Saccharomyces cerevisiae S288C: one gene and its partners. The protein of the gene in region 1 interacts with the protein of each later gene in a biochemical or structural test. Each region holds a gene or a part of one and is shown in the gene's direction. Other genes may lie near its edges.

Evidence for each region.
Region 2: the proteins of MCM4 (region 1) and CDC45 form a complex in vitro, tested with the Saccharomyces cerevisiae proteins (5 studies listed by BioGRID).
Region 3: of the proteins of MCM4 (region 1) and CDC7, one has a biochemical effect on the other in vitro, tested with the Saccharomyces cerevisiae proteins (9 studies listed by BioGRID, with this or other methods).
Region 4: the proteins of MCM4 (region 1) and TAH11 form a complex in vitro, tested with the Saccharomyces cerevisiae proteins (3 studies listed by BioGRID).

What each region holds. Positions count from the first base shown.
Region 1 is NC_001148.4:594,897-603,711, forward strand, and holds MCM4 (MCM DNA helicase complex subunit MCM4), read left to right. Parts: upstream 1-1,853; coding exon 1,854-4,655; downstream 4,656-8,815. Other genes in the region: RLF2 (Rlf2p), read left to right, coding at 1-1,400; ATP20 (F1F0 ATP synthase subunit g), read left to right, coding at 4,974-5,321; AGC1 (citrin), read right to left, coding at 5,753-8,461. UniProt on the Saccharomyces cerevisiae protein: Acts as a component of the MCM2-7 complex (MCM complex) which is the putative replicative helicase essential for 'once per cell cycle' DNA replication initiation and elongation in eukaryotic cells.
Region 2 is NC_001144.5:341,235-349,206, reverse strand, and holds CDC45 (DNA replication initiation factor CDC45), read left to right. Parts: upstream 1-3,265; coding exon 3,266-5,218; downstream 5,219-7,972. Other genes in the region: REA1 (AAA family ATPase midasin), read left to right, coding at 1-201; tRNA splicing endonuclease subunit SEN2, read left to right, coding at 1,027-2,160; LCL2 (Lcl2p), read right to left, coding at 2,227-2,622; APC9 (anaphase promoting complex subunit 9), read left to right, coding at 5,440-6,237; ERG27 (3-keto-steroid reductase), read right to left, coding at 6,354-7,397; MIM2 (Mim2p), read right to left, coding at 7,619-7,882. UniProt on the Saccharomyces cerevisiae protein: Required for initiation of chromosomal DNA replication. Acts at the origin of replication. Also has a role in minichromosome maintenance.
Region 3 is NC_001136.10:422,434-427,294, forward strand, and holds CDC7 (serine/threonine protein kinase CDC7), read left to right. Parts: upstream 1-1,775; coding exon 1,776-3,299; downstream 3,300-4,861. Other genes in the region: ERP3 (Erp3p), read right to left, coding at 400-1,077; trans-2-enoyl-CoA reductase (NADPH) TSC13, read right to left, coding at 3,569-4,501. UniProt on the Saccharomyces cerevisiae protein: Serine/threonine-protein kinase. Needed for the initiation of DNA synthesis during mitosis as well as for synaptonemal complex formation and commitment to recombination during meiosis. Required for HTA1-HTB1 locus transcription repression.
Region 4 is NC_001142.9:520,386-528,022, forward strand, and holds TAH11 (Tah11p), read left to right. Parts: upstream 1-1,662; coding exon 1,663-3,477; downstream 3,478-7,637. Other genes in the region: Hsp70 family ATPase SSC1, read right to left, coding at 1-1,217; ANB1 (translation elongation factor eIF-5A), read right to left, coding at 4,523-4,996; CYC1 (cytochrome c), read left to right, coding at 5,950-6,279; UTR1 (NADH/NAD(+) kinase), read right to left, coding at 6,499-7,637. UniProt on the Saccharomyces cerevisiae protein: DNA replication licensing factor, required for pre-replication complex assembly. Faithful duplication of the genetic material requires 'once per cell cycle' DNA replication initiation and elongation.

The sequences.
Region 1 (8,815 bases):
AAAGAGAAAAGGAACTAAAAAAGCAGCAACGTGCAGAAGAGAAACACAGAAAAGAGTTATTACGACAAGAAGAGAAAAAGAAAAAAGAGCTAAAGGTAGAAGAGGAAAGACAAAGGCGTGCTGAGCTGAAAAAGCAAAAGGAAGAGGAAAAGCGTAGAAAGGAAGAAGCCAGATTAGAAGCCAAAAGAAGAAAAGAGGAGGAAAGATTGAAAAAGGAGGAGGAAATACGTTTGAAAGAAGAAGCCAAGGAAAGAGCACAATCCCGTATTGGTAACTTCTTTAAAAAACTAAGCGATTCTAATACGCCTGTGGTTGAAAAGTCGGATTATGAAAAATTTTTTCTACCTTTCTATGCTAAAGATGGAGTTAGAGTCAGTAATAAGTGGAAACTAACAAAAGTGGAGCTGGAAGGTAGCAAAAGAAAAATAGATGATGAATTACTGAACAGTAAAGATAAAACAAGTAGTGACGACTTATTGAATTGGTTACAGTCTAGAAGATTACCTAGAGGACATAAAATTAAACGTAAAGCTGTTGACGTTCTACAGCAAATGCCTTTGAAGGAGAAAACAGACGATGAGCTCCAATCTTTACTTGCACAAGTTCCGCACAAATATATAAAATTCTACGAAAATGTTAGACCTCCGTTTATCGGAACCTATTCTATGGACTTTACTTTGCCACCAAACGATCCCTTTTCTACGAAAGGTACTGGATTCAATTATGATTACGATTCTGACGTTGAATGGGTTAATGAAGAAGAAGAAGGCGAAGTCGATAACTTAGAAAGTGGTGAAGAGGAGGAGGAGGAGGAAGATGATGAAGACGTACCTAGCGAAGGAGAGTTTGACGGGTTTCTAGACAGCGAAGAAAACAGTGATTTGGATGGCCTACCCTGCGCCAAGAGAAAATTTGTAGGCCCATTGATACCAACAATATGCCTAAAATCCAATTTTGAAAACTTATCAGAGGAAAATAAACGATACTTACAACAACTCAAGGCCGAAGTTATCATAGAAACCGACGGGCCAATCGATCCATTCAAAGAACCCAAAACATCGTCTCTACCATCCAAAAGAAGTAATTCCGACTTACAGGCACAGACCGCTAGCCAATCTCAAAGTCCCGAAAAGAAACAAAAAGCAATGATTACAGACCCCATGGACTTACTTCGACTTTTTGATGGGGTTCAAGACAGCACGTTTTCTTTGGGTACTGTGACTGAAATAGCACAGAAAAATTTGCCGCAATACAACAAACAAACAATTAAAAACACCATAAAGGAATATGCCATAAGAAGTTCTGGAAAGGGTGATTTGCCCCGCAAATGGGTAATCAAAGACGCACAAAACTGGGAGAATCTTCGAGCCAATGCAAATATGCCAACCCCGTCTTTGTAACTTGAACGGATCTTTAGTATATAGAAACATACAGATAAACTGATTATTTATTGGTATACATGAAAAAGGCGACAACACTACGATCGACAGTCAAGCCTTTTGGACTTTGAATAAAATCCAGCACTTCTCGCATGCAACAAAAGAAAATCTTCTATATAAGCTGAACTACATTTATCTGTGTCAGCCAACTGCATGTTTTATATCACTTCTTTTTGGAATATTACGAGTAGATTCATGAAAACGCAAACACTTGGTTTACTCTTTCGGGAAATTTAATGCTAGTTCGCCGCCTCGAAAATGAAAAGAGAAGAAGAGACCAGAAGAGCAACTTCGCATTGGCACTGTTTATTTCTTTAAGAACATCTTCAATACTAAATAAGACAACCCATCTTCAGTTATTTTTACTCTTGGTAGAGCCCAACTTAGGATCCTTTTGAACCTCAAGAACTTAAAATGTCTCAACAGTCTAGCTCTCCAACAAAAGAGGATAATAACTCCAGCTCCCCCGTTGTGCCTAATCCTGATTCTGTTCCACCACAGCTTTCTTCCCCAGCTCTATTTTATAGCTCCTCTTCATCACAAGGTGATATCTATGGTCGCAACAATAGCCAGAACTTAAGTCAGGGAGAGGGAAACATCAGAGCTGCTATAGGTTCTTCTCCACTAAATTTTCCATCTTCTTCCCAAAGACAAAATTCCGATGTTTTCCAATCTCAAGGCAGACAGGGCAGAATTCGTTCTTCTGCGAGCGCTTCTGGAAGGTCTAGATATCATTCTGATCTGAGAAGTGATAGAGCACTGCCTACTTCTTCCTCTTCTTTAGGCCGTAATGGTCAAAACCGTGTACACATGCGAAGAAATGATATTCATACATCTGATTTATCCTCTCCAAGAAGAATTGTGGATTTTGATACTAGATCCGGCGTGAATACTTTGGATACTTCTTCTTCTTCTGCTCCTCCATCGGAAGCCAGTGAACCCTTGAGAATAATTTGGGGTACCAACGTCAGTATCCAGGAATGTACAACTAATTTTCGTAATTTTTTGATGTCTTTCAAGTATAAATTCCGTAAAATATTGGATGAAAGGGAGGAATTCATTAACAATACTACCGACGAAGAACTATACTATATCAAGCAGCTTAATGAAATGAGAGAACTTGGTACCTCTAATTTAAACTTGGATGCTAGAAACTTACTTGCTTACAAGCAAACAGAAGACTTATACCATCAACTATTAAATTATCCTCAAGAAGTGATTTCTATCATGGATCAAACTATCAAGGACTGTATGGTTTCCTTAATAGTAGACAACAATTTGGATTACGATTTAGATGAAATAGAGACCAAGTTTTATAAAGTAAGGCCTTACAATGTAGGTTCTTGTAAAGGTATGCGCGAATTGAATCCAAATGATATTGATAAATTGATAAACTTAAAGGGTCTTGTCCTGAGATCAACTCCGGTTATCCCTGATATGAAGGTAGCGTTTTTCAAATGCAACGTCTGCGATCATACAATGGCAGTGGAAATTGATAGAGGAGTTATACAAGAGCCCGCTAGGTGTGAACGTATTGATTGTAATGAACCCAATTCCATGTCACTGATTCACAACAGGTGTTCATTCGCAGATAAACAAGTCATTAAGTTACAGGAAACTCCAGACTTTGTGCCTGATGGACAAACGCCTCACTCTATCTCATTATGTGTTTACGATGAATTAGTGGATTCTTGCAGGGCGGGCGATCGTATTGAGGTGACTGGCACGTTCAGGTCCATCCCCATTAGAGCTAATTCCAGGCAACGCGTACTAAAGTCGTTGTATAAAACATACGTCGATGTGGTCCACGTTAAAAAAGTTTCAGATAAGAGGTTAGACGTCGATACTTCTACTATTGAACAAGAATTAATGCAGAACAAGGTAGATCATAACGAGGTCGAAGAAGTAAGACAAATTACTGATCAGGATTTAGCAAAAATTCGCGAGGTTGCGGCAAGAGAAGATTTATACAGTTTATTAGCCCGCTCTATTGCCCCAAGTATTTACGAGCTAGAAGATGTCAAGAAGGGTATATTACTTCAGCTATTTGGCGGCACGAATAAAACCTTTACCAAGGGTGGCCGTTATAGAGGTGACATAAATATTTTACTTTGTGGGGATCCTTCTACTTCCAAATCGCAAATTTTGCAATACGTTCACAAAATTACTCCTCGTGGTGTGTATACTTCGGGTAAAGGTTCATCTGCCGTTGGTTTAACTGCTTATATTACAAGGGATGTCGACACAAAACAACTTGTTTTGGAAAGTGGTGCATTAGTATTGTCTGATGGAGGTGTTTGTTGTATTGACGAGTTTGATAAAATGAGTGATTCTACAAGGTCCGTCTTGCACGAAGTCATGGAACAGCAGACTATTTCAATCGCAAAAGCGGGAATTATCACAACACTTAATGCCAGAAGTTCTATTTTGGCCAGTGCTAACCCAATTGGTTCACGCTACAACCCCAATTTGCCTGTGACTGAAAATATTGATCTACCGCCCCCACTACTTTCGAGATTCGATCTGGTCTATCTTGTCCTTGATAAGGTTGATGAGAAAAATGACAGAGAACTAGCCAAACACTTAACAAATCTTTACCTGGAAGATAAGCCCGAACATATTTCTCAAGACGACGTGCTACCAGTTGAATTTTTAACGATGTATATTAGTTATGCAAAGGAGCACATACACCCAATAATCACCGAGGCCGCTAAGACTGAGCTTGTTCGTGCTTATGTAGGAATGAGAAAGATGGGTGACGATTCGAGATCCGATGAGAAGAGAATCACAGCTACCACAAGACAACTTGAAAGTATGATTCGTTTGGCTGAGGCGCACGCCAAAATGAAATTGAAAAACGTCGTAGAGCTGGAGGATGTTCAAGAAGCCGTTAGATTAATTAGATCAGCCATAAAAGATTATGCAACAGACCCTAAAACCGGTAAAATCGACATGAATTTAGTTCAAACAGGTAAATCAGTTATTCAGAGAAAACTACAGGAGGATTTGTCAAGGGAAATTATGAATGTTTTGAAGGATCAGGCATCAGACTCAATGTCATTCAATGAGCTTATAAAACAAATCAATGAACACTCTCAAGATAGAGTTGAGTCTTCTGATATCCAGGAAGCCTTGTCAAGATTGCAACAAGAGGACAAGGTCATTGTCCTTGGCGAGGGTGTAAGGAGATCAGTTCGCCTGAATAACCGTGTCTGATGCTGTCTACTACAATCATTCCCTGCGTAACAATTAATAAATACTAATTAATTATAGCAAGTTTGTATTTTTTACATCCTTATGCTTTGTAACACTATTCAATACTGTATGTAGGCTCGATTGAGTGGGCGGCTTTTTTCTTATTCCTGATTGGCTGAAAGAAAATATTGTTAAACGCACTAAATTTATCCCGAAGGATGATTACATTTAAAGACCGAAAAATGAAGATGCAAAGATCCCTCATATTTTCTACTCCAGTCCAAATCGACAAGATAAACCTGCCGATAAATCATATTTCAGAACGCTAATCAATTCATCATGCTAAGCAGGATCCAAAATTATACCAGTGGGTTGGTTTCTAAAGCAAATCTTTTGTCATCAAAGGCTTTATACTATGGTAAAGTCGGTGCCGAGATTTCAAAACAGATTTATTTAAAAGAGGGTCTTCAACCACCAACTGTTGCCCAGTTCAAATCAGTGTATTCGAACCTTTATAAGCAGAGCCTAAACTTTGCTCTAAAGCCTACAGAAGTTTTATCGTGTTTAAAAAACATCCAAAAGAATGAACTATTAAAATATGGCGCATATGGTATTCAGTTGATAGGGTTTTATTCTGTCGGTGAAATAATTGGAAGAAGAAAATTAGTGGGATATAAACATCACTAAGCTTTTTAATTCTATCTATTCGCAAAACCCTTGTATATTCGTTAATTAAATTAAATCAATGTACAAATAGAACAAAACTAGAAAAAAGAATATATATTCATCTCAATTCTATTTATTTTCTTTTCATGACATACAATGGCATTAAAAGCGATATCGAGTTATATTACATTAGCTTCTTGCCGCCAGTTATTTATGAAATAGGCCAATATAACTTTTCTGTAAAAAAGAAAACTTGACCTCAGAGCTTTCATTACACTTATTAAGAACAACATACTTGTTGCACTATAGTAAAAACTACAGTGAAATTGATCTCAGGATCATTAGTAATTTTTCTCACTATAAGAAAAAAAAAAAAACATATATTTTGCTATGAATTATAATAAGTAAATATATACATATATATGTACAGAGAAACTGACGAAGAAAATAAATCACCCGTTAATGCTTCTTAGGTGCTCTTGAAAGTTTTTATAAACTGAAGAGTCAAACCTAGAAAAGTTATTGTCCAAATCAATGAATGTTTTCGCAATTTGACAGCTTTTATAGTAATAATTGGCATGTTTTCTATCATCAGAGTAAAACTTTTGCTGTGGGAGTTCACCGTTACTATGAACTACTGTCTCTTCATTGCCTGCGTCGTCATCGATACAAAATCTCTTCCTACCCTCTCTGCTTTTTAATTTGTTATCGGGGGAGGGAATAAAGCCCTTGAATAATTCATAGGCGGCCAGAGTGAACCCAAATTGGGGAGAACTTCTTAGGACACGGGCTCCACCACCTTTGAAAAAGCTTCTAAAGCTCTCTTCCTTTAAGATAGTTCGGATAGCATGAAATATACCGTTATACTTTGTCTCACCTTTTCGAGGATCTATCTGGAGCCTTGTTTTTATAACATCAAAAGGAGTAGTCAAGAAGGCAGCTGGCATACCAGCAATGGCACCGGCAGTTAAAAGCTCCCATGTTTTTAATCGATTCCTCTTTGTTTTATCATTTGGATCAAAATCAAAGAGATCTTTTTTTAAATGTGCATAAGTGGGAAAATAAATAGCAGAGAATGGAACATCTCTCATTAAACATGCGGCTACACCATTGTACAAGCCCCTCAGTCCTAATTTTTTGACTATTTGAGTGGCAGTTTCATTGGCTTGTTGTATGTTTTCACCAACATAGTCGGATTGGACCTGTAGCCTAATTTTTACAATCTCTAACGGATTAGTAAATATAACTTGACATGCACCAGCTGAAGCGCCAGAAATAATTTCAGGAAAAAGGCTTAGCTTGCCGTTTTTATCAGTCAACCTGTTTCTCATAAAATCATTGACAGTCAATTTTATCGCCTTTTCAGGAGCAACTCCTATTAATTGTGGCCCTAAGCCAGAGTAGAGACCTTTTATTCCTTCGCGGGATATAATCTTCAACAAACAATCAATTGAGTTTTTGTATTGGGCTAAAGATCTTTGGGCTTGCATCCTTGTTTTTATAAAGTCTATTGGGTATACTACAGTTGCACCAATACAACCCGCAATAGAACCCAAGGAGAAATTGTACAACGAATCGAAAATTGGATAAAAGTAGTAATTAATATACAATGACTCATTTTGATTTTTTTGCAATTCCATTTGGTGAACTAAGTCGTTCAGGTAATTTGGGTTCAAAATTTTCATGAAATCTTCAATTGTTAAGTCAGAACGCATCGTTGCTTTATCTTTTTTACCTCCAAATACAGATTCAAACAAGCCAGTACTCGCTTTTGAAGCTTTTTTAACACCAGAGTCTTGGTCAAATCCATCCGAGAGATCATGATAATAGTCATTAAAACTTTCTAAATTTTTTCTGGATCTGCTTACTCCATGCAAATACTCATTATGGATAAAAAAATCAATATCTGAATCATAATGGTGATCATTTAATAGCTCGTCATCTCGATCTTGATTTCTCTTTCTTAATCTTCTGTTTTCCTTTGAATTTGCGACGATAGAAAATAGTAGGTTGATTTGGGAAGGAGAGAACTCAATGATATTGTTTACTTTGTTATACTGGGCGTTTAAAACTGTCATAAAGTCATTTTTAGTAACTATTTGTTCCCTAATATCCTGCTCATTCAAATTATTTTCAGTAACATACTTGTGAAATATTTGGTTCAGTAGGTCAAAATTTTGAAATAAATAAAATATATCCTTGAATACATTGTACGGAATGGAATTATTGTCCGCTTTTAGTAATTCGGTGTTTGATAGATTCAAGGAGGAAAATATATCTGCAGACACCCTGTGAGAGTAAAATAACCTTAGAAGATAGGTGAGTTGATTTTTGCTTAGGGCTAAACGATGCCCTTGTGAGTCCATCTGTGCCAACCTATCAAAACCTATAAATATTTTTTCATTCTTAAGATCATTTTGTAAAATCGTGACCAGAGAGTTTAAACTCAAATACTCTTCATTTTCATGATAACATTTGTAAAATTTCAGAAATCGAAAGTCATTCCAATCAAGTAGTAATTTGTTATCTTTAACAAAATTATCATCAATAGATTCGTGCAACAGGCGGATAGTATCTTTGAATTGGTTCAGATTCAAAAGAAGATCATCAAAGCTTAGAAATCTGTTACCATAATTAATTGACTTAATTCGATCATCTGCAGCCTTTAAATTAAACGACGAACTACCAAGCTCTTTTTTTTGTTTTGCCTTCAAATTCTCTACATCAAATTTCCTAAAGAACTCATATAGAATAATGAGATGATAATTATCATATTCTAATAAATTATTAAAATAAAACCAATCATTAAGCGTCAGATATCCCTTGTTTTGTTCATCAATAGCGAAGAAAATACACCCGAAAACGTTCTTGGGTATCTGGTTCAAATTGAACGAATGGTCCGTAAACTTCGAATAAATAGTCTTTGAGCTAGATATCAGTTCAATGAAATCGTCGTATGTTAAAATTAGTTCTCCTGTAAGCTTCTCCGTGTCAGGTTTCCCATTTCCTGCTGTGAGTTTACTGGAGTTCACTGTCGGCATATCTAACATACCATTACTGATACTAATAGGCTTGTCCTCTTTTGTAAGGACACTTGCAAAATATTTGAATACTTCCAATTGTTGCTTCTTTTTTCTACTGTTCGAATTGATTTGCTCCATAATAGTATAATAATTCTTTAAGGTCGGTAGCAAAGCTGCATACTTTCAAACTACGCTATGAAAGTTATGTACTTTTCCAGTGAAATATGTTCACAAAGAAGGGATCAGGCTACTTCGAAAATTATGGCAAACGCGAGGTTGTGAGATAAAACTTGAAAGTCTGGTGAGATTAGATATCAAATCTTAACATATAAAAGACAGGTTCGTCTTGAGGTATTTATCTATCTTCGAAATATTTTTTTCTTTGCTTCGAATACTGGTTAATTCTGAGATTCAATATATGTTTCGAGATGTTTTTCCAACATGCCGGCAGTACTCCCCTAAAGCGATGCTGCAGAAATTTTTCATAACCGC
Region 2 (7,972 bases), on another chromosome or scaffold:
ATTACTTCTAATGAATCCATCTTAGACATGAGCCAAGTGAACTACATTCCAGATCAGTATGGCAATCCGCAATTAAAGATTACCAAATACTTGGACACATTTCCTTTTGAATTTTATGTTGTTGTACACGATATAAGCGAACTACCCGAAATGCTTTCACTGATTTTGCGTCAATACTTTACAGACCTGGCATCCAGCTAAGTATATCGTGAAAACCAAGAAGAGGAGGTTTACTACACGAATCAAAGGAACAAAAAAATCATGGAACTGAAAAAAAAAAAAAAAAACTACTGTAAAAAACTACTGTAAACTATAAATTATTAATTAGACTGAACGTATACCTATATAAACCTGATATAAAAATGATTCAAGTTATTAGTCCTTTGCATTTTCTGTTAGCAATCCTTTGTCAATTAGCCCTAAGAAATATTATTCCCATATGGGTAACCAACTCTCTTTTTTTTTTTTTTTGAAGGGATCAATACTTCAGTCAGATATTTAAAGAGAAAAATTTTCTTCAAGATGCAAGTTTCCCATTCAGTTCTATAGGAAGTTAAAACAAAAGAGCTGTTTGAGAGCTCGTAGGCTTTGGTTGTTAAGAGAACGGACTAAATAACACCAGGAGGTGTGTCTAGACTTAGTTGAACGAGTTTTTTCTCGTGCTATTATATCTGTTCTTAATACTTCCACTTTATTTTAATGATGATAGCATGATTTATGTTGCTCGAAGTTAATCGATGTGAGCACAATGATTTCTCAAGACTACAACGGTATCTGAATTTTATTTCTTGTCAAAAATGTTTTATAGAAGCCACTCTTGCTATAGATTTATATTGCCACACATAACTTTTTCACGTAAATTTGAAAGAGCTATATTAGCTGGTGCTTTCACTAACATCTCTTTGCTCTAGTATTTCATTTCGGTGCATAAAACATTTGAACTTCCATCGAAATTCAATATGCTAAAACGTTTCATTGTAACACGACGCTGAAAAGACAATAAGTACGAAGGACTCAAGAAGGAGCATGTCTAAAGGGAGGGTCAATCAGAAGCGTTACAAGTATCCTCTTCCAATTCACCCCGTAGATGACCTTCCAGAGTTAATCCTTCATAATCCGTTATCTTGGCTATATTGGGCATACCGCTATTACAAGAGTACGAACGCACTGAACGATAAAGTACATGTAGATTTTATAGGAGATACCACTCTTCACATCACGGTTCAAGATGACAAGCAAATGCTATATCTTTGGAATAATGGATTTTTTGGCACTGGTCAATTTAGCAGGAGTGAGCCTACATGGAAAGCTAGAACAGAGGCCAGACTGGGTCTCAATGATACTCCCCTCCACAATCGGGGAGGAACAAAGAGTAATACTGAAACGGAGATGACTTTAGAGAAGGTCACACAACAGAGGAGATTACAAAGATTAGAGTTCAAGAAAGAACGTGCGAAGTTAGAAAGAGAATTACTAGAATTAAGAAAAAAAGGTGGTCATATCGATGAGGAAAACATCCTCCTTGAGAAACAACGAGAATCATTAAGAAAATTTAAACTAAAACAAACAGAAGACGTGGGCATCGTTGCACAACAGCAAGACATTTCCGAATCAAATTTAAGAGATGAAGACAACAATCTTCTTGATGAGAACGGTGATCTTTTGCCACTAGAGTCACTAGAACTAATGCCAGTGGAAGCTATGTTTTTAACTTTTGCACTTCCTGTTCTTGACATATCTCCCGCGTGCCTGGCAGGGAAACTGTTTCAATTCGATGCCAAATATAAAGATATTCACTCCTTTGTCAGATCATACGTTATATACCATCACTACAGATCACACGGTTGGTGCGTAAGATCTGGTATAAAATTCGGCTGCGATTATTTATTATATAAGAGAGGGCCACCATTTCAACACGCTGAATTTTGTGTTATGGGTCTTGACCACGACGTCTCTAAAGATTATACGTGGTATTCTAGCATAGCCCGTGTTGTGGGCGGCGCAAAGAAGACGTTTGTGTTATGCTACGTGGAGAGACTAATCTCGGAACAGGAGGCGATAGCACTATGGAAATCAAACAACTTTACTAAATTGTTCAATAGTTTTCAAGTTGGTGAAGTATTGTATAAGAGATGGGTTCCCGGAAGAAATAGAGACTAGAATATCAATGAGAAGATAAATCCTTCGTATGTATATATGTATGTGTATGTATTTTTTATACAGATTTCAATGGTTTTTGTAAGCATCTGATACCCATCCACAATCCCTAAACCCCTTGTTCTTTGCTTTGGGGCCCTTGACAGGGTCATCATATATTGCTCTAAACTTTTCATTGTGTGTGGCTGGTTTGGATATGCAAACAAATTTATTATCAGGAAGGACACATTTCAACTGAGATTTAGGGAAGGGACAAGGACAGTCTTTCTGCTGTGCAACGCACGTTAGGGTGTCCGGACACAAATACCCATCACAAGGGTTATTTAAAACTTGATCTTCATATGATTGTTGCTGTTGCTGTTGCTGTTGCTGATGATGACCGAAATTGAAGAAGGCATTCACTCCAGTGCTGCCAAAAATAAACAATGCAAAGATGAGAACGATACTCCAGCGACTTTGACTCATACTACAGTAAAATTTGGTCGTTTTTTGCCTGGCAAACCATGCCTATTTTTCGTCATTAAAGGTCTTCTGAGCTTTCATCAAAATTATCTCTATAATTATAAAGGACAGCTCAGAGCCACACCCAAACATCTGCAAAGGTAAAGGCCATCTTTCATCTCACATTGCCTAACAAGAAAGTCACATTGCAATTGTTTCGAGAAGAAAACATTAATTCAATTACGTGGTTCCCATGCGTCTGTGTTAAGCGTCAATTTATCATTTGACGAACTCGTTGCAACCACAAACAAAGCAAGGGCCGCATTTATCAAAGGAAAACCAACCAAAAGCATAAATAAACGAGATTTTTATTATGAAAAAGCCATGCGAATCCTACTAGAATAAATTCAAAGTGAAGACATTTAGTCAATTCGATCTTCTCTCTCTTGCTTTAACTAGTCGTAAAACCTAATAAGTTTCATTCACGACGCGTATTTTTTTTTCAACATATCATCTAACGCGTTTTAAGAAATTTCAGTAAATAATGAAGCTGTAGTAATGCCAACAATCCATTGTGGCTACTTTATACAACGCACTATAGAGCAATAAAAGTGTAGCAATAAACACTAGAGAGAAGGCACATAATAACAAGAATATACTCTCGCACATGTATTATGGAATCAGCCAGTTTAGCGAAGCCTACAACAAAATCTTAAGGAATTCATCGTCTCATTCATCATGTCAATTGGTCATTTTCGTTTCTTGTCTTAACATCGATGCGCTGTGTGCGACGAAGATGTTGTCACTATTATTCAAAAAACAATTGGTACAATCTCAAATAGTACCGATATTTGGGTACTCTGAATTACGACGCCACTATTCTCAATTGGATGACAATATAAATAGTCTGCTATTAGTAGGGTTTGGAGGCGTTATTGATCTGGAGGCTTTCTTAGAAATCGATCCCCAAGAGTATGTTATCGATACAGATGAAAAGTCGGGGGAACAAAGTTTCAGGAGAGACATCTACGTGTTGGATGCTCATAGACCGTGGAATCTCGACAATATATTTGGATCACAAATCATCCAATGTTTTGACGACGGTACGGTGGATGACACATTAGGCGAACAAAAAGAAGCATACTATAAATTGCTTGAACTGGACGAGGAGAGTGGTGACGATGAGCTCTCAGGTGACGAGAACGATAATAATGGGGGTGACGATGAGGCAACTGATGCCGATGAAGTCACAGACGAGGACGAAGAAGACGAAGATGAGACAATATCTAATAAAAGAGGTAATTCTTCAATAGGACCGAATGATCTCTCAAAAAGAAAGCAACGAAAGAAGCAAATCCATGAATATGAAGGTGTTTTGGAGGAATACTATTCTCAAGGCACAACAGTGGTTAACTCGATATCTGCACAAATCTATTCATTATTGTCTGCTATCGGAGAAACAAATCTTTCAAACCTGTGGTTGAATATACTTGGTACGACCTCGTTAGATATAGCATATGCTCAAGTTTACAATCGATTATACCCCTTATTGCAAGATGAAGTGAAGCGTCTCACACCAAGCAGTAGAAACTCAGTAAAGACCCCTGATACATTGACGTTAAACATCCAACCGGATTACTACCTTTTCTTACTGAGGCATTCTTCATTGTACGACAGTTTTTATTATTCTAACTATGTCAATGCCAAACTATCCCTATGGAATGAAAATGGGAAAAAGAGATTGCATAAGATGTTTGCTAGAATGGGTATACCATTAAGTACTGCACAAGAAACATGGTTATACATGGATCATTCTATTAAGAGAGAACTTGGGATAATATTTGACAAAAATTTGGATCGTTATGGGTTGCAAGATATAATTAGAGATGGGTTTGTTAGAACTCTTGGATATCGTGGGTCCATAAGTGCCAGTGAATTTGTCGAAGCACTAACAGCTCTTTTGGAAGTAGGTAATTCAACTGATAAGGATAGTGTGAAAATAAATAATGACAATAATGACGATACAGATGGAGAGGAAGAAGAAGATAACAGCGCTCAAAAATTGACGAATTTGAGAAAAAGATGGGTTTCGAATTTTTGGCTCAGTTGGGATGCTCTAGATGACAGAAAGGTGGAACTATTAAACCGTGGCATTCAACTAGCACAAGACTTACAGAGAGCAATTTTTAATACCGGGGTTGCTATATTGGAGAAGAAATTAATCAAGCATTTAAGAATTTATAGATTATGCGTCTTACAAGACGGACCCGATTTAGACTTGTACAGAAACCCATTGACGTTATTAAGATTAGGAAATTGGCTCATAGAATGCTGTGCGGAATCTGAAGACAAGCAATTGTTGCCCATGGTGCTTGCCAGCATAGATGAAAATACGGACACTTACTTGGTTGCTGGGTTAACACCTAGGTATCCTCGCGGACTAGACACGATACACACAAAAAAACCTATTTTGAATAATTTCAGCATGGCGTTTCAACAAATAACTGCAGAAACGGATGCTAAAGTGAGAATAGATAATTTTGAAAGTTCCATAATTGAAATACGTCGTGAAGATCTTTCACCATTCCTGGAGAAGCTGACCTTGAGTGGATTGTTATAATCAAATTTATATTATTTAGTCGTACATATATACCAGCATATGAATATAAAATCTAAGCTTTTTCAAGCTTTTAAGTCCAACTTTTCTATAATAATACCATATTTTGTGCGCGGCTCTTGACAAAACAAAAAAAAAAACCTAAATAAAAGGAAATTAAGAACAGGGAACTAGGTTTGGAAGGACAAATTCAGGAAGGAAAGAAATAGCTGTGACAAAGTAAGATGAACCAAAATGGTGATAAGAACGAAGGCAAGTTGTTTCAACTACCGTCATTGCCGCCCTGGAAAACACCAAGGTTCAACAAAGCCAACTTTAACAATTTTACCACACCGCTACGGAAAAGGTCGACAAGGGTAATAAATGATGATTCGATGCCCATAACAGGCGAAGTACTAGAGGAGAGGACTGCAGATGATCTCTATGGGATAAATATGGACGTAGACGAAGTCGACTATCTGAATACTTTGAGCCACATCGAGGAAGAAAAGCAATACGATTATTCACCGTTTTGTGAGCGCAATACGCTAAGGGAAAGTAGAATTGACAGTTTTTTGAAAGCCGAAAGGGCAGCACATTGTCTTGTGTTTCATAAGGTGGGCCATCTAGACGGCATAGACAGCTATCGACCCGATATTGACATCATGTGCGGCGAAGAGGCTAATAAATATGACAGTGCGAATCCGGAGGGCAATGGTTCAATGTTGTTAGAGAGTGTACCTGGATGCAACAAAGAAGACCTGGAGAGGTTATCAAGGCGAGAATTTGTAACAAATTCGAAACCTAATATGAGACGGTTGGATGACATAATAAATCATGAAACGAACGCCTTAAAAAGTTTCTGGAACGACTCAGGATTAGTCAATTCACTCCAAAGTCATCATTTGCATGAAGAGTACCTTCTTTTGCAAGAAGAATTAAAGAATGTGTACAAGATTAAATGCCATGACAGAGTGCCAATAGAAAGTCTACGCGATAAGTGCAGAAGACACTATAGCAACGAGGATAGTTCGTTTCTCTGACAGAGGCAATGCCTTTTTTGCTTCACGTGTATATATATCAGTTGATATGCGTTTTCTATACAGACATACATGTATATACACACATATATATATATACATATGTACGCAGAGATATATTAAATGGGGGTTCTAGTTTCAACAATTTGATCTTTCAGTTTCTCGTCCCATTCCAGTTTCTTCTTCTGTATATAAGCGAAGACATCAGACATTCCAGTAGGGTCTATTTCCTGCGTCTTGATATATGGCATACCATCCCTAGAGGTAGCAGAACCGTATTTTACGTCTTGTTTCTCAAAGTTTGGATTGGCCAATCTAGTTACGTATACTGGGGCATTGGCAGCTTTATAACCATCAATATTGTGCCATGGAGACCCCAACAGCCTGGCCAAATAGAACAAGCATAGCATGCCGAAATAGGTGAAAAAATTCAAATATTCGGAGAAGGAATGGCTTGTAAATATGCCCGGTTGAACTACATACTGATTTATGCCCAGCTTTTTCAAGTCTTTGTAGGTGGCCAAATGCAGTAAATCAACTAAACGCTTGGAGCCCTCATAAGAGGCATTTGTCTTTAGTAGTTCAATATCGTTCAACGAAAGATACTTAGGATCGGACATAATACTCGAAATCCAAACAATATAAGCCTTTCCCCTGGTCAATTGAGGCAGAATTTTACTGATAAAGTAGTACGGACCAAACACATTGGCCTGGAAAATAAGCCCCATGTCATCTTTAGACTTGACGCCCACCAGTTGTATCTTGTATGTCGGATTTGTCACTGCCTCCAATGGATTGGTGAAAACCTCCTTGACCGCTCCGATCCAATCTATACCGTCAAAGATACCTTGCGCAGCATTCACGAAAAGGTAGTTTATCGCCCTGTACTTTTTGTTGATGTCGTAATATGCGTTCAAGACACTCACCATGTTGGTGAAGTCCACCAACAGATAATCAAAGTCTATTTCCAAATCCTCTACACGGCCTGATTTGTTGTAAAAATCTTTAATCTGGTTAATCACCTCCTGCACTCGAGGAAGCGTTCTAGAAGTCACCACAATGGTCAATCTGACATTGGTGTCCTCAGTTTCAATCAGACGGAACACAATGTTCAGACCAAGATTACTATTAGTACCCGTTACGATAGCTACTTTCCTGTTCATCCTATCCTCCTACTTTTTCTCTTTGCTACTTTTTTTCGACACAGATCATGTGCTTGTTTCTCGTCCTATCTTTTAAATACCTGCTCAATTCAAGATGCCGTTCTTTCGTTAAACGACCATAAATAAAGGCCCACGTACTATCGGAGATAAAACAACGGGTGTGCGAAAAGTGCCATTTATCTGTTATAACTGCTATATGCGGATACATAAACAACAAACACTTATACAAAGTGTTCAATGAACCTACTCCATAGAGTCTTGGCCATTCTCCTACCTATATACTTGCCCAGCAGGGGCAGCAGGACCCAGTTGAGCAGCTTGTTCAACTGTTGCAGCGACTCTTCCCATTGACGCTGTGCATCTGCGAGCTCGTTGCTGAGTGACGTGTCCTCGTCGCTGAGGTAACCATCTTCTTCCAGGCCCTCCACGCTGTTGATTGTGTCGATGCCCTGCAGGATCACAGAGGTATCCTCGCTATCTGCCATGTTCTAGTTATTGTTGCTCGTGCAGTGATGTGCTGTGGTGCTGGGGAGTGGTTTGCTCTGCCGATCTTGCTTGTAACGGCCGGCCGTTAA
Region 3 (4,861 bases), on another chromosome or scaffold:
ATCCTTGTATTTTCTGGCACACTTGCTTATCACTTCTTTCACTAAAAATATAGTTTAACACTCCAAGAGGAATACCATCCCCAAGCGAGTTGATTGACTGCAAGTGTAATTAAATAGGTGGAAATTGCATGGTGCATATGCCAATGGCTAAGAAAAAATTACTCTTACAAAGATTATTTTGTCAATTTCTCGAAGAAAACAATGCTACATTTTGAAATAGGATTTTTTAAATCGTGACATGTGCTTTAATAGAAACGTCACTTCAGCTCTGTCATTACATAAGATTTAACATGAGCAAAAGGGCTATTTTGGATACGGTATGTCATTCCTTTCCCCTATTAAATATGAAGAACATATATTCTCAAGTTGATAGAAAATGCAGGAACAATACACAACTATTTACACATTATGCTTTCTCGATTCTCTGAAAATGAACTCCAGTATGGCAATTTGAGCGCAGCTCATTCCGATGATTAATAATATGCCGTAAATAGAAAACATTACAATTCTATGCTCTGTTGAACAAACGGTGTGATGATTTCTGGTGTTTCTGCTTTTATAGTACTGTATATTACGTTCCAAAACGTGGAGCTGCCTTTCTATGGTGTCTATAGAATTTTCCACACTGTCTTGCAAGGGATCGGTTTTAGAGTCTCTCAGGTTTCTCTGCGCCTTTCTCGCCTTGCGTCTTTCATTTCGAATATCATCTTGGCGTTCACAATTGTACTTGAAGTCCAGATCAACAATCTTGTCGTGTGCTTTACCACCATAAAAGCAGATAGCATATTCTCCCTTATGTTGGCCTATAAATGACCATTCACCTTGACGTTCACCAGATCTCTCGATTATTGGCTTGTTTTTGTCATCAGGAGCAAATATTTCGTAGTTAACATCAAAGTCATTGCTCTCTCCTTGCTGTACTGCAAAATAATATGAGATTGTACAGTCAATTTCCGGAGTTAGCGTATATAAGCACTCCTTTCGACCTTTATTCAGTTCAAATGTCAACGGTGATGCCTCAGCAAAAAATTGTGCTAAAAAAAAAAACTGGAAGAAAAGTACACATAAATTGGACATGACGGAGTTTTTTAGTCAGTTCACAGTGTCCCTTCAAGTACGGTAACTATCAAGAGCCTTACCAGTTTCTGTCAAGATATTGTCCCCCCAAATTCTTTCATTGAGGAGAGGATTATGAAGAACGCGTTCTGTTTTAAAGAGAGAAAAATTCAGGTCAGGACGCGTTGGTCTCACCTTTGTTGACATAATGACCATGACAGTGTAGGAAGTCTAAGTAGTATGTGGAAACCTACGCGATCATACTGATACGTTCGTAAACTTTATCAACGAACGACGCTTTTTTTTTAAACCTCTATATAAGCATGTTTTTAGCTTGGGAAATTAAGGTGTAGCCCTGGTTTTGAAGATAATTAAGAATCTAATGGGGCAATGCTTGTGTAGATGACATTTTATAGAGTAAAATTACTTCCCGTTTAGCTCGATAAACGCCTTAGGCCTACATAAATCTTAAACATTTGTCCCCGGTCAGCTTTTAAATTATGTCTTCTTTGCCCTGGGGCGTCTTCTTGAACGGCATCAATTTAGTGAGTAGAAGAGCACTTCACATTTCCGCCTAAAATCAATGCAAGAACCATTAACAAAAAAAACCGCTCAGCAGGCGTAACGGGAAGTAACAGACTACCTTAAATTTTCAATAACAATTGTGCTATTATCTAATTTTCTTAGGAAAGAGGCAGTTTCGAAGTAGAACAATCATAATGACAAGCAAAACGAAGAATATCGATGATATACCTCCAGAAATCAAAGAAGAGATGATACAGCTCTATCATGATCTACCGGGTATAGAAAATGAATATAAACTCATAGACAAGATCGGTGAGGGAACATTTTCGTCAGTGTATAAAGCCAAAGATATCACTGGGAAAATAACAAAAAAATTTGCATCACATTTTTGGAATTATGGTTCGAACTATGTTGCTTTGAAGAAAATATACGTTACCTCGTCACCGCAAAGAATTTATAATGAGCTCAACCTGCTGTACATAATGACGGGATCTTCGAGAGTAGCCCCTCTATGTGATGCAAAAAGGGTGCGAGATCAAGTCATTGCTGTTTTACCGTACTATCCCCACGAGGAGTTCCGAACTTTCTACAGGGATCTACCAATCAAGGGAATCAAGAAGTACATTTGGGAGCTACTAAGAGCATTGAAGTTTGTTCATTCGAAGGGAATTATTCATAGAGACATCAAACCGACAAATTTTTTATTTAATTTGGAATTGGGGCGTGGAGTGCTTGTTGATTTTGGTCTAGCCGAGGCTCAAATGGATTATAAAAGCATGATATCTAGTCAAAACGATTACGACAATTATGCAAATACAAACCATGATGGTGGATATTCAATGAGGAATCACGAACAATTTTGTCCATGCATTATGCGTAATCAATATTCTCCTAACTCACATAACCAAACACCTCCTATGGTCACCATACAAAATGGCAAGGTCGTCCACTTAAACAATGTAAATGGGGTGGATCTGACAAAGGGTTATCCTAAAAATGAAACGCGTAGAATTAAAAGGGCTAATAGAGCAGGGACTCGTGGATTTCGGGCACCAGAAGTGTTAATGAAGTGTGGGGCTCAAAGCACAAAGATTGATATATGGTCCGTAGGTGTTATTCTTTTAAGTCTTTTGGGCAGAAGATTTCCAATGTTCCAAAGTTTAGATGATGCGGATTCTTTGCTAGAGTTATGTACTATTTTTGGTTGGAAAGAATTAAGAAAATGCGCAGCGTTGCATGGATTGGGTTTCGAAGCTAGTGGGCTCATTTGGGATAAACCAAACGGATATTCTAATGGATTGAAGGAATTTGTTTATGATTTGCTTAATAAAGAATGTACCATAGGTACGTTCCCTGAGTACAGTGTTGCTTTTGAAACATTCGGATTTCTACAACAAGAATTACATGACAGGATGTCCATTGAACCTCAATTACCTGACCCCAAGACAAATATGGATGCTGTTGATGCCTATGAGTTGAAAAAGTATCAAGAAGAAATTTGGTCCGATCATTATTGGTGCTTCCAGGTTTTGGAACAATGCTTCGAAATGGATCCTCAAAAGCGTAGTTCAGCAGAAGATTTACTGAAAACCCCGTTTTTCAATGAATTGAATGAAAACACATATTTACTGGATGGCGAGAGTACTGACGAAGATGACGTTGTCAGCTCAAGCGAGGCAGATTTGCTCGATAAGGATGTTCTCCTAATATCTGAATAGCAAAGTGATAAATTACTGCTAGTCTGAAATAATTTCCTTTTCTTTGGAAAGAGAATTTTAAAAGTACTTACATATTTGCATAGTGAAAGATTTAAATAAAAATTTCTTAAAGTGAAACGGTTTAGCATAATTGGTGGCATGCGCTTAAGATAGTGCCAAATACCAAAAGGCACAGGTGCAGACGATACTTAAACAATAGTGCTACTACGCCACTTCGTGAAAGCTAATATCTCTTTACCTTGCATTTGGGCATGTTGCAAACAGGAGGATCAAAATACAAATGGAATCAAGAATGCTCTTCTGGTATGATACTTTTTGTTTTTCTTTTGAGCCCATGCGTACATTTGAGCTGTTGAAACAGTCAAAAATAAAACGGCAAATAAATTGAACTTGAACACAAAAGTAAACCAAATCCAAGACCAAACTTCAAAAGTATAGTTGGGAGCAACAAAAAGATTGAAAATACCTTGATTCAATGGGACACGGATCTTAGCGTTACCATGCTTCTTTTGATAGTCACCCCATAGGCGCAATTTAATGTGGCAATAAAAGTTCCATAGTTCTGAAAGCACGAAAAGACCAATTAATGTACTCAAGTCATCCAATTTCAAATATGAATAGTATTTGAATAACTTAGCATTCCCAAAGGGGAAGCCGTAGCCAAAGTAACCGAATGAAATGAGACCGCTTAGAACCCAGTAATGGAAACAATTTTTGAACAGGTTGAAAATTGGCATAGTAGCTAAAGAGAATTGGTGAACAAATAAGGTTTCAAATAATCTCTTTCCATAATGTCCTAAAATTAAAAAATATGCAACCCTGTTTAAAAATGGATTATAGTCGGAGCTAGCACTGTGCCATCTATCAACAACTGTGGGAATGGTAGATAGATAATAAAAAAGGGAGTGAACCAAGACTGGACCCAAATACTCACAAAAGAAGACTAATCTCCATGAAATTTGGGGACCCAAATCTTTGATGAAGAATTCCATTGAGTCATCAGCCTCTTCTTGAAAAAACGATTCTGAAATAACCGGAACTTGTTTAGATTCCTTTTTGTAGGTTAATCTTATCCTGTACTTGCTGATATTGTGGTTATTAGCAGAGATTTTTTTCAAAACATCATCTAAAGTAGGCTTTTTGGATAAGTCAATTTCAGTGTCCCTTAACCCTTTAGAGCGGCTTTTTATGGTGATAGGCATTTTCAAATTAAATTCAAAATATGTATCTCTCTCAAATAGCTCAATTGGTTTCTAGATAGCTAAATAGAATATAATCTTACTGTCCTCCGTTCTGTAAAATTCACGCTCTTAGTCCCTTTTCATAATTCCTTAACTTTTTGCGTACAAAATGATATGTTTATTATATTTTTCTTTTTTTTTTTTCAAATTTTTTCTTTTTCTTGAAAAATTTTTCAAATTGGAAAGCTCATCTCTCTTGAATGTATAATACTTTCTTCCTCTAACTTTCAAAAAGTTTTACATAGCCAAGAAGTTTTCCTTACATCGGTATACTACTGTTATATAAGTTATTCTTCGAGAAACAATTAGATATCATTCATC
Region 4 (7,637 bases), on another chromosome or scaffold:
GACAAGACAGCACCTTGCACAGCAGCACCAATGGCAACAGCTTCATCTGGGTTGACGGCCTTAGATGGGTCCTTACCAAACAAAGATTTAACGGTTTCGACAACCTTAGGCATTCTGGACATACCACCGACCAATAAGACTTCAGATATGTCTGAAGTAGACAAACCGGCGTCTTTCAAAGCCTTCTTGACTGGGTCGACAGTTCTCTTAACTAGTGGGGCTGTCAAAGTCTCGAATTGAGCCCTGGAGAACTTCATGTTGATATGCTTTGGACCTGAGGCATCAGCAGTGATAAATGGCAGGTTGATTTCAGTGGAAACGGTAGAAGATAGCTCAATCTTAGCCTTTTCAGCAGCTTCTCTAATTCTTTGGATAGCCATACGGTCATTTTCCAAATCAATACCAGTTTCGGTCTTGAAACGAGAAACAATCTCTCTCAACAAATAGATGTCGAAATCTTCACCACCCAAATGAGTGTCACCGTTAGTGGACTTAACTTCAAAAACACCGTTGTCAATATCTAAGATGGAGATATCGAAAGTACCACCACCCAAATCGAAAACGGCAACAACTTTAGAGTCGGATTTTTCCAAACCGTAAGCTAAGGCAGCGGCGGTTGGTTCATTGACGACACGTAAAACGTTCAAACCAACAATTTGGCCTGCGTCTTTAGTAGCTTGTCTTTGAGAGTCGTTGAAATAAGCTGGGACAGTGACAACAGCATTCTTAACTGGCTTACCCAAGTAGGCCTCAGCTGTTTCCTTCATCTTGTTCAAGACGAACCCACCGATTTGGGCTGGTGAGTAAGTTTGACCTCTGGCCTCAACCCAAGCATCCCCGTTGGAGTGCTTGACGATCTTGTATGGAACTTGCTTGATATCTCTTTGCACTTCAGCGTCTTCGAAACGACGACCAATCAAACGCTTGGTAGCAAATAGGGTGTTTTCTGGGTTCACTACGGCTTGACGCTTGGCTGGAATACCAACCAAACGTTCTCCCTCTTTAGTGAAAGCTACTACAGAAGGAGTAGTTCTGGAACCTTCGGCGTTTTCAATAATTTTTGGAACTTTACCTTCCATAATGGCAACCGCAGAGTTGGTGGTACCCAAATCGATACCGATGACGGAACCTTGAACCTTGGTTGACTGCAAACGTGTGGCAATACGGAAAGAGCTAGACAAGCTTGACCTGTTTAGTATGTTTTTAGCAGCAAGCATCTTGGTGCGTATAATATGAGATTTGTGTAGTCTTAATTATATTAAATGGGTCGTAAATACAAAAGTTGTCACTCTGGCAAAGGTTGGTGAGCAGCGGGGCGTCGATATGTACAGCAGGCAGAGGAGGACAGCAACGTATGGAGTTTTCAAACGTGGAACAAAGAACCCAAAAGTTCCCAAGCGTCGAGCCGGCGTTGGATCGTTCGTTTTTATACACCGCACCGTAAGCGGTCACCGGAAAAAGAGGCAGGGGGCGGTGGAACCGGGCCGAAGCCCATGGAAAAGCTCTGCCGTTGTGGGTGATATACAATTATTCAGCGCATCTAAGGCACTAGCTTTAGCACATTGTACCATTGCGATGATGCGGAAGAGTTTAATATAAGCAGATGTTAGTTGCGGTAGTTGGTATCATGACAGTGAGCTGAACTACGTAGCGTCGTGATTTATGAGTGGCACAGCTAATAGTAGGAGGAAGGAGGTTTTGCGCGTGCCTGTGATAGATTTGAATAGAGTTTCAGATGAAGAGCAGCTGTTGCCGGTGGTGAGGGCAATTTTGCTACAGCATGACACCTTTCTGTTAAAAAATTATGCTAACAAGGCTGTTCTAGATGCACTACTAGCGGGGCTCACGACAAAGGACCTGCCTGACACGAGTCAAGGTTTTGATGCGAACTTTACGGGTACATTACCGCTAGAAGATGATGTTTGGCTGGAGCAGTACATATTTGACACTGATCCTCAATTACGCTTCGATCGGAAGTGCAGGAATGAGTCACTGTGCTCCATATATAGTAGGCTGTTCAAACTGGGTCTGTTTTTCGCCCAACTGTGTGTGAAAAGTGTGGTTTCTAGCGCAGAATTGCAAGACTGTATCAGCACCTCTCATTATGCGACTAAGCTGACCCGTTATTTCAATGATAATGGTAGTACACACGATGGTGCAGATGCAGGTGCTACCGTGCTGCCCACTGGCGACGATTTCCAGTACCTGTTTGAAAGGGACTATGTTACTTTTCTTCCGACGGGCGTGTTGACCATCTTCCCCTGTGCCAAGGCTATAAGGTACAAGCCATCGACTATGGCGACGACGGACAATTCTTGGGTGAGTATTGATGAACCCGATTGTCTTCTGTTCCACACGGGGACCCTCCTTGCGCGCTGGTCTCAAGGTATGCACACTACCTCACCACTCCAGATAGATCCTCGTGCGAACATTGTTTCGTTGACCATCTGGCCTCCACTTACTACGCCAATCTCGAGTAAAGGAGAGGGTACGATTGCCAATCATTTGTTGGAGCAACAAATTAAGGCTTTCCCAAAAGTCGCTCAGCAATACTACCCACGGGAGCTTAGTATTCTAAGACTCCAAGACGCAATGAAGTTTGTTAAGGAGTTGTTTACTGTTTGCGAGACTGTATTGTCTTTAAACGCTCTTTCCAGATCCACGGGCGTCCCACCAGAGCTGCACGTTTTGTTACCCCAGATATCCAGCATGATGAAAAGGAAAATAGTGCAGGATGATATTTTGAAGTTATTGACCATTTGGTCTGATGCATACGTAGTGGAACTGAACTCTAGAGGGGAGCTGACCATGAATCTACCCAAAAGAGACAATCTAACAACGTTGACCAATAAGTCTAGGACTTTGGCATTCGTGGAAAGGGCAGAGTCGTGGTACCAACAAGTGATAGCTTCCAAGGATGAGATTATGACTGATGTACCCGCTTTCAAAATAAATAAAAGAAGGTCCAGCTCTAATTCTAAAACAGTCTTGAGCAGTAAAGTGCAAACGAAGAGCTCTAATGCTAATGCCTTGAATAACTCAAGATATTTGGCGAATAGTAAGGAAAATTTCATGTACAAAGAGAAGATGCCTGATTCGCAAGCAAACCTTATGGACAGACTGCGTGAAAGAGAGAGACGTTCGGCCGCATTGCTTTCTCAAAGGCAAAAACGTTACCAGCAGTTTCTAGCGATGAAAATGACTCAGGTATTTGATATTCTTTTTTCGCTGACCAGGGGCCAGCCTTATACAGAGACATATCTAAGCTCGCTAATCGTAGATAGTTTACAAGATAGTAATAATCCTATCGGTACAAAAGAAGCAAGTGAAATTTTAGCTGGGCTACAAGGTATCCTACCAATGGACATATCTGTTCATCAAGTGGATGGTGGGTTAAAAGTTTATAGATGGAACAGTTTGGATAAAAACAGATTTTCTAAGCTGTTGCAAATCCACAAATCAAAACAACAAGATTGAAGAATATTTTTAGATATAAGGTAGAATACGTACATTTACGGTAAAAAAAAAAAAAAAAGAAAAAAAATTGATCTTGATACATACGTTGGTATTTTACTTTGAAGACTGTGCATTGTGTATGTACGAAAAGAAAGGGAAATAAAAAATAACGACAACTGCAGGACTCGAACCTGCGCGGGCAAAGCCCAAAAGATTTCTAATCTTTCGCCTTAACCACTCGGCCAAGTTGCCTTTAATCTCTTGAGTTTGTTTAAGGACAACACTGTCCACCTGGCATGGGAATATTACCATTATTCCAGATTCGGGCTTGTTATTAGGACTTTTTACCAGCTTGATTTACCGGTCATTACTTATCCTACACATCATACATCACAACTACACTTGGTGAAGAAATCACAGAGCCTTGGATTTGTAACAATTATATGTTTACGCAATTTATCTTGGGAAAGCAGGGCCTCATTTGTGGACATAGCACGGTCTGTCACCCTCGTCGTGCAAAAAATATTTTGACTTCTACTCTTTTTGAAGTTTCGTTGATCGGGTCCCTTCCAAGGAAAAGTCGAATGCTGTCACTGCGCATATAAAGGCGAGAACGATAGTGACTGTGATATTAAGTTATTGTCATCATATAAGTAATTTTTTCTCTGATATCTGTAGCCCTAGTTTTTAATATTTTCGTAAAATGCTCAAAAAAATTTCTGTTTAAATTCTTCTGGGGTATATACACATGTTCCCGTCAGCTAAATTAAAAAGAAGAAGGAACCGAAAGAAGGCAAATTATAAAGTAATCATCCTCGGCATATTGAGGGGAAAATATCCGTCAAAAAAAAAAGTTCTGCACGTCGTCATAAGTGACTATGGTATCAAACACCAATTAACACGAACGTAGCGATAATGAAGGCAACTTCGTAGCTGAAACAGAACGAAGTTAGTTAGGATGAATAATTATGATTATGATTATTATAATATTATATAAAATGTATAAATAAGATTTCTAGATCAAAAAAACATCGCGTATTTTGTAAGCTATAGAAATCTAAAATATCTAATCAGATCTTGGAGCTTCCTTGAAGGAGATGGCAGCTTCTTCACCCATGGCAGAAATGATAGTGACCATCAAATCCTTACCTTCATCGAAAGCAGCTTGCATGCTGTCACCCAATTCACCTTCTGGTGCCTTGACATCGTCTTTGGTTTCACCGTCCATGGTCATCAAGGACAAGTAGCCATCATCAATATCCAACAATTGGTATTCGCTTCTCTTGACAAATGGAACTTCCAAGTTGTGAGTGGATGGAGACAAATCTTCCAACTTCTTACCAGTGAAGATATCAAGGGTAACCAAATGGACCTTGGCGTGACCGTGCTTACCGGTCTTGGAAGTGGACATGTCGACAATCTTACATGGTCTACCTTTGATGACAACGAAACCATTCTTTCTCAAGGCAGAACATTGCATTGGGTAGGTGGCGGAGGCACCAGCGTCAGCATTTTCAAAGGTGTGTTCTTCGTCAGACATGTTTTAGTGTGTGAATGAAATAGGTGTATGTTTTCTTTTTGCTAGACAATAATTAGGAACAAGGTAAGGGAACTAAAGTGTAGAATAAGATTAAAAAAGAAGAACAAGTTGAAAAGGCAAGTTGAAATTTCAAGAAAAAAGTCAATTGAAGTACAGTAAATTGACCTGAATATATCTGAGTTCCGACAACAATGAGTTTACCAAAGAGAACAATGGAATAGGAAACTTTGAACGAAGAAAGGAAAGCAGGAAAGGAAAAAATTTTTAGGCTCGAGAACAATAGGGCGAAAAAACAGGCAACGAACGAACAATGGAAAAACGAAAAAAAAAAAAAAAAACACAGAAAAGAATGCAGAAAGATGTCAACTGAAAAAAAAAAAGGTGAACACAGGAAAAAAAATAAAAAAAAAAAAAAAAAAAGGAGGACGAAACAAAAAAGTGAAAAAAAATGAAAATTTTTTTGGAAAACCAAGAAATGAATTATATTTCCGTGTGAGACGACATCGTCGAATATGATTCAGGGTAACAGTATTGATGTAATCAATTTCCTACCTGAATCTAAAATTCCCGGGAGCAAGATCAAGATGTTTTCACCGATCTTTCCGGTCTCTTTGGCCGGGGTTTACGGACGATGGCAGAAGACCAAAGCGCCAGTTCATTTGGCGAGCGTTGGTTGGTGGATCAAGCCCACGCGTAGGCAATCCTCGAGCAGATCCGCCAGGCGTGTATATATAGCGTGGATGGCCAGGCAACTTTAGTGCTGACACATACAGGCATATATATATGTGTGCGACGACACATGATCATATGGCATGCATGTGCTCTGTATGTATATAAAACTCTTGTTTTCTTCTTTTCTCTAAATATTCTTTCCTTATACATTAGGACCTTTGCAGCATAAATTACTATACTTCTATAGACACACAAACACAAATACACACACTAAATTAATAATGACTGAATTCAAGGCCGGTTCTGCTAAGAAAGGTGCTACACTTTTCAAGACTAGATGTCTACAATGCCACACCGTGGAAAAGGGTGGCCCACATAAGGTTGGTCCAAACTTGCATGGTATCTTTGGCAGACACTCTGGTCAAGCTGAAGGGTATTCGTACACAGATGCCAATATCAAGAAAAACGTGTTGTGGGACGAAAATAACATGTCAGAGTACTTGACTAACCCAAAGAAATATATTCCTGGTACCAAGATGGCCTTTGGTGGGTTGAAGAAGGAAAAAGACAGAAACGACTTAATTACCTACTTGAAAAAAGCCTGTGAGTAAACAGGCCCCTTTTCCTTTGTCGATATCATGTAATTAGTTATGTCACGCTTACATTCACGCCCTCCTCCCACATCCGCTCTAACCGAAAAGGAAGGAGTTAGACAACCTGAAGTCTAGGTCCCTATTTATTTTTTTTAATAGTTATGTTAGTATTAAGAACGTTATTTATATTTCAAATTTTTCTTTTTTTTCTGTACAAACGCGTGTACGCATGTAACATTATACTGAAAACCTTGCTTGAGAAGGTTTTGGGACGCTCGAAGGCTTTAATTTGCAAGCTTCGCAGTTTACACTCTCATCGTCGCTCTCATCATCGCTTCCGTTGTTGTTTTCCTTAGTAGCGTCTGCTTCCAGAGAGTATTTATCTCTTATTACCTCTAAAGGTTCTGCTTGATTTCTGACTTTGTTCGCCTCATGTGCATATTTTTCTTGGTTCTTTTGGGACAAAATATGCGTAAAGGACTTTTGTTGTTCCCTCACATTCCAGTTTAGTTGTCGACTGATACTGTTAATAAACTCATCGGGCGAGGCTTCCACGGTTGGAAAAGCATATGGGCTGGCGCATATGGTTATAAAATCACCTTTTTGCAATTCAATTCTATCTTTCCCATCAAAAGCCGCCCATGCTGGAGCCCTTGACTTCATCGAGACTTTCACTTTTAAATTTATACTTTCTGGTAAGATGATGGGTCTGAAACTCAATGCATGTGGACAAATGGGTGTTAAAGCGATTGCATTGACGGTTGGGCATACCAATGACCCACCTGCACTCAAAGAATAGGCCGTGGACCCAGTCGGAGTAGCAGCAATCAGTCCGTCCGCCTGCGCAACGGTCATTAATGAGCCGTCACCATACAATTCTAACATGGATAGAAAAGGACTTGGACCACGATCGATGGTCACTTCGTTCAAAATGTGGTGTGTGCTTAGTTTTTCCACCACACATATTTTCTTCCCCGTGTTTGGGTCTACTTCAGGGCGGTGTCTACGATAAATTGTGCACTCCAACCTCAACCGTAAATTTGTCTTGATTTTATGATTCATAATCCGAGGTAAATCCTCCCTGAAATGTTCAAACTTAAAATTTGTTAAAAATCCTAGAGACCCTAATGAAAACGACATAACGGGTGGTACATGTCTCTGAAAAATGGAACTTACAAAAAGAACAGTACCGTCGCCACCCAAAGTCACTACCAAATCGAAGAAAACATCATGTTCCCTGATGAAATCCTTTGTCCAATACTTGATCCTTGATTCTCTACATTTACTATCTTCACATAACTCGCCAGCGGCAAATTTTTTGCTGTTTTTCAATTCGGAATCCACATAAACAGTCACACGTGGAAAATGTACCAAAA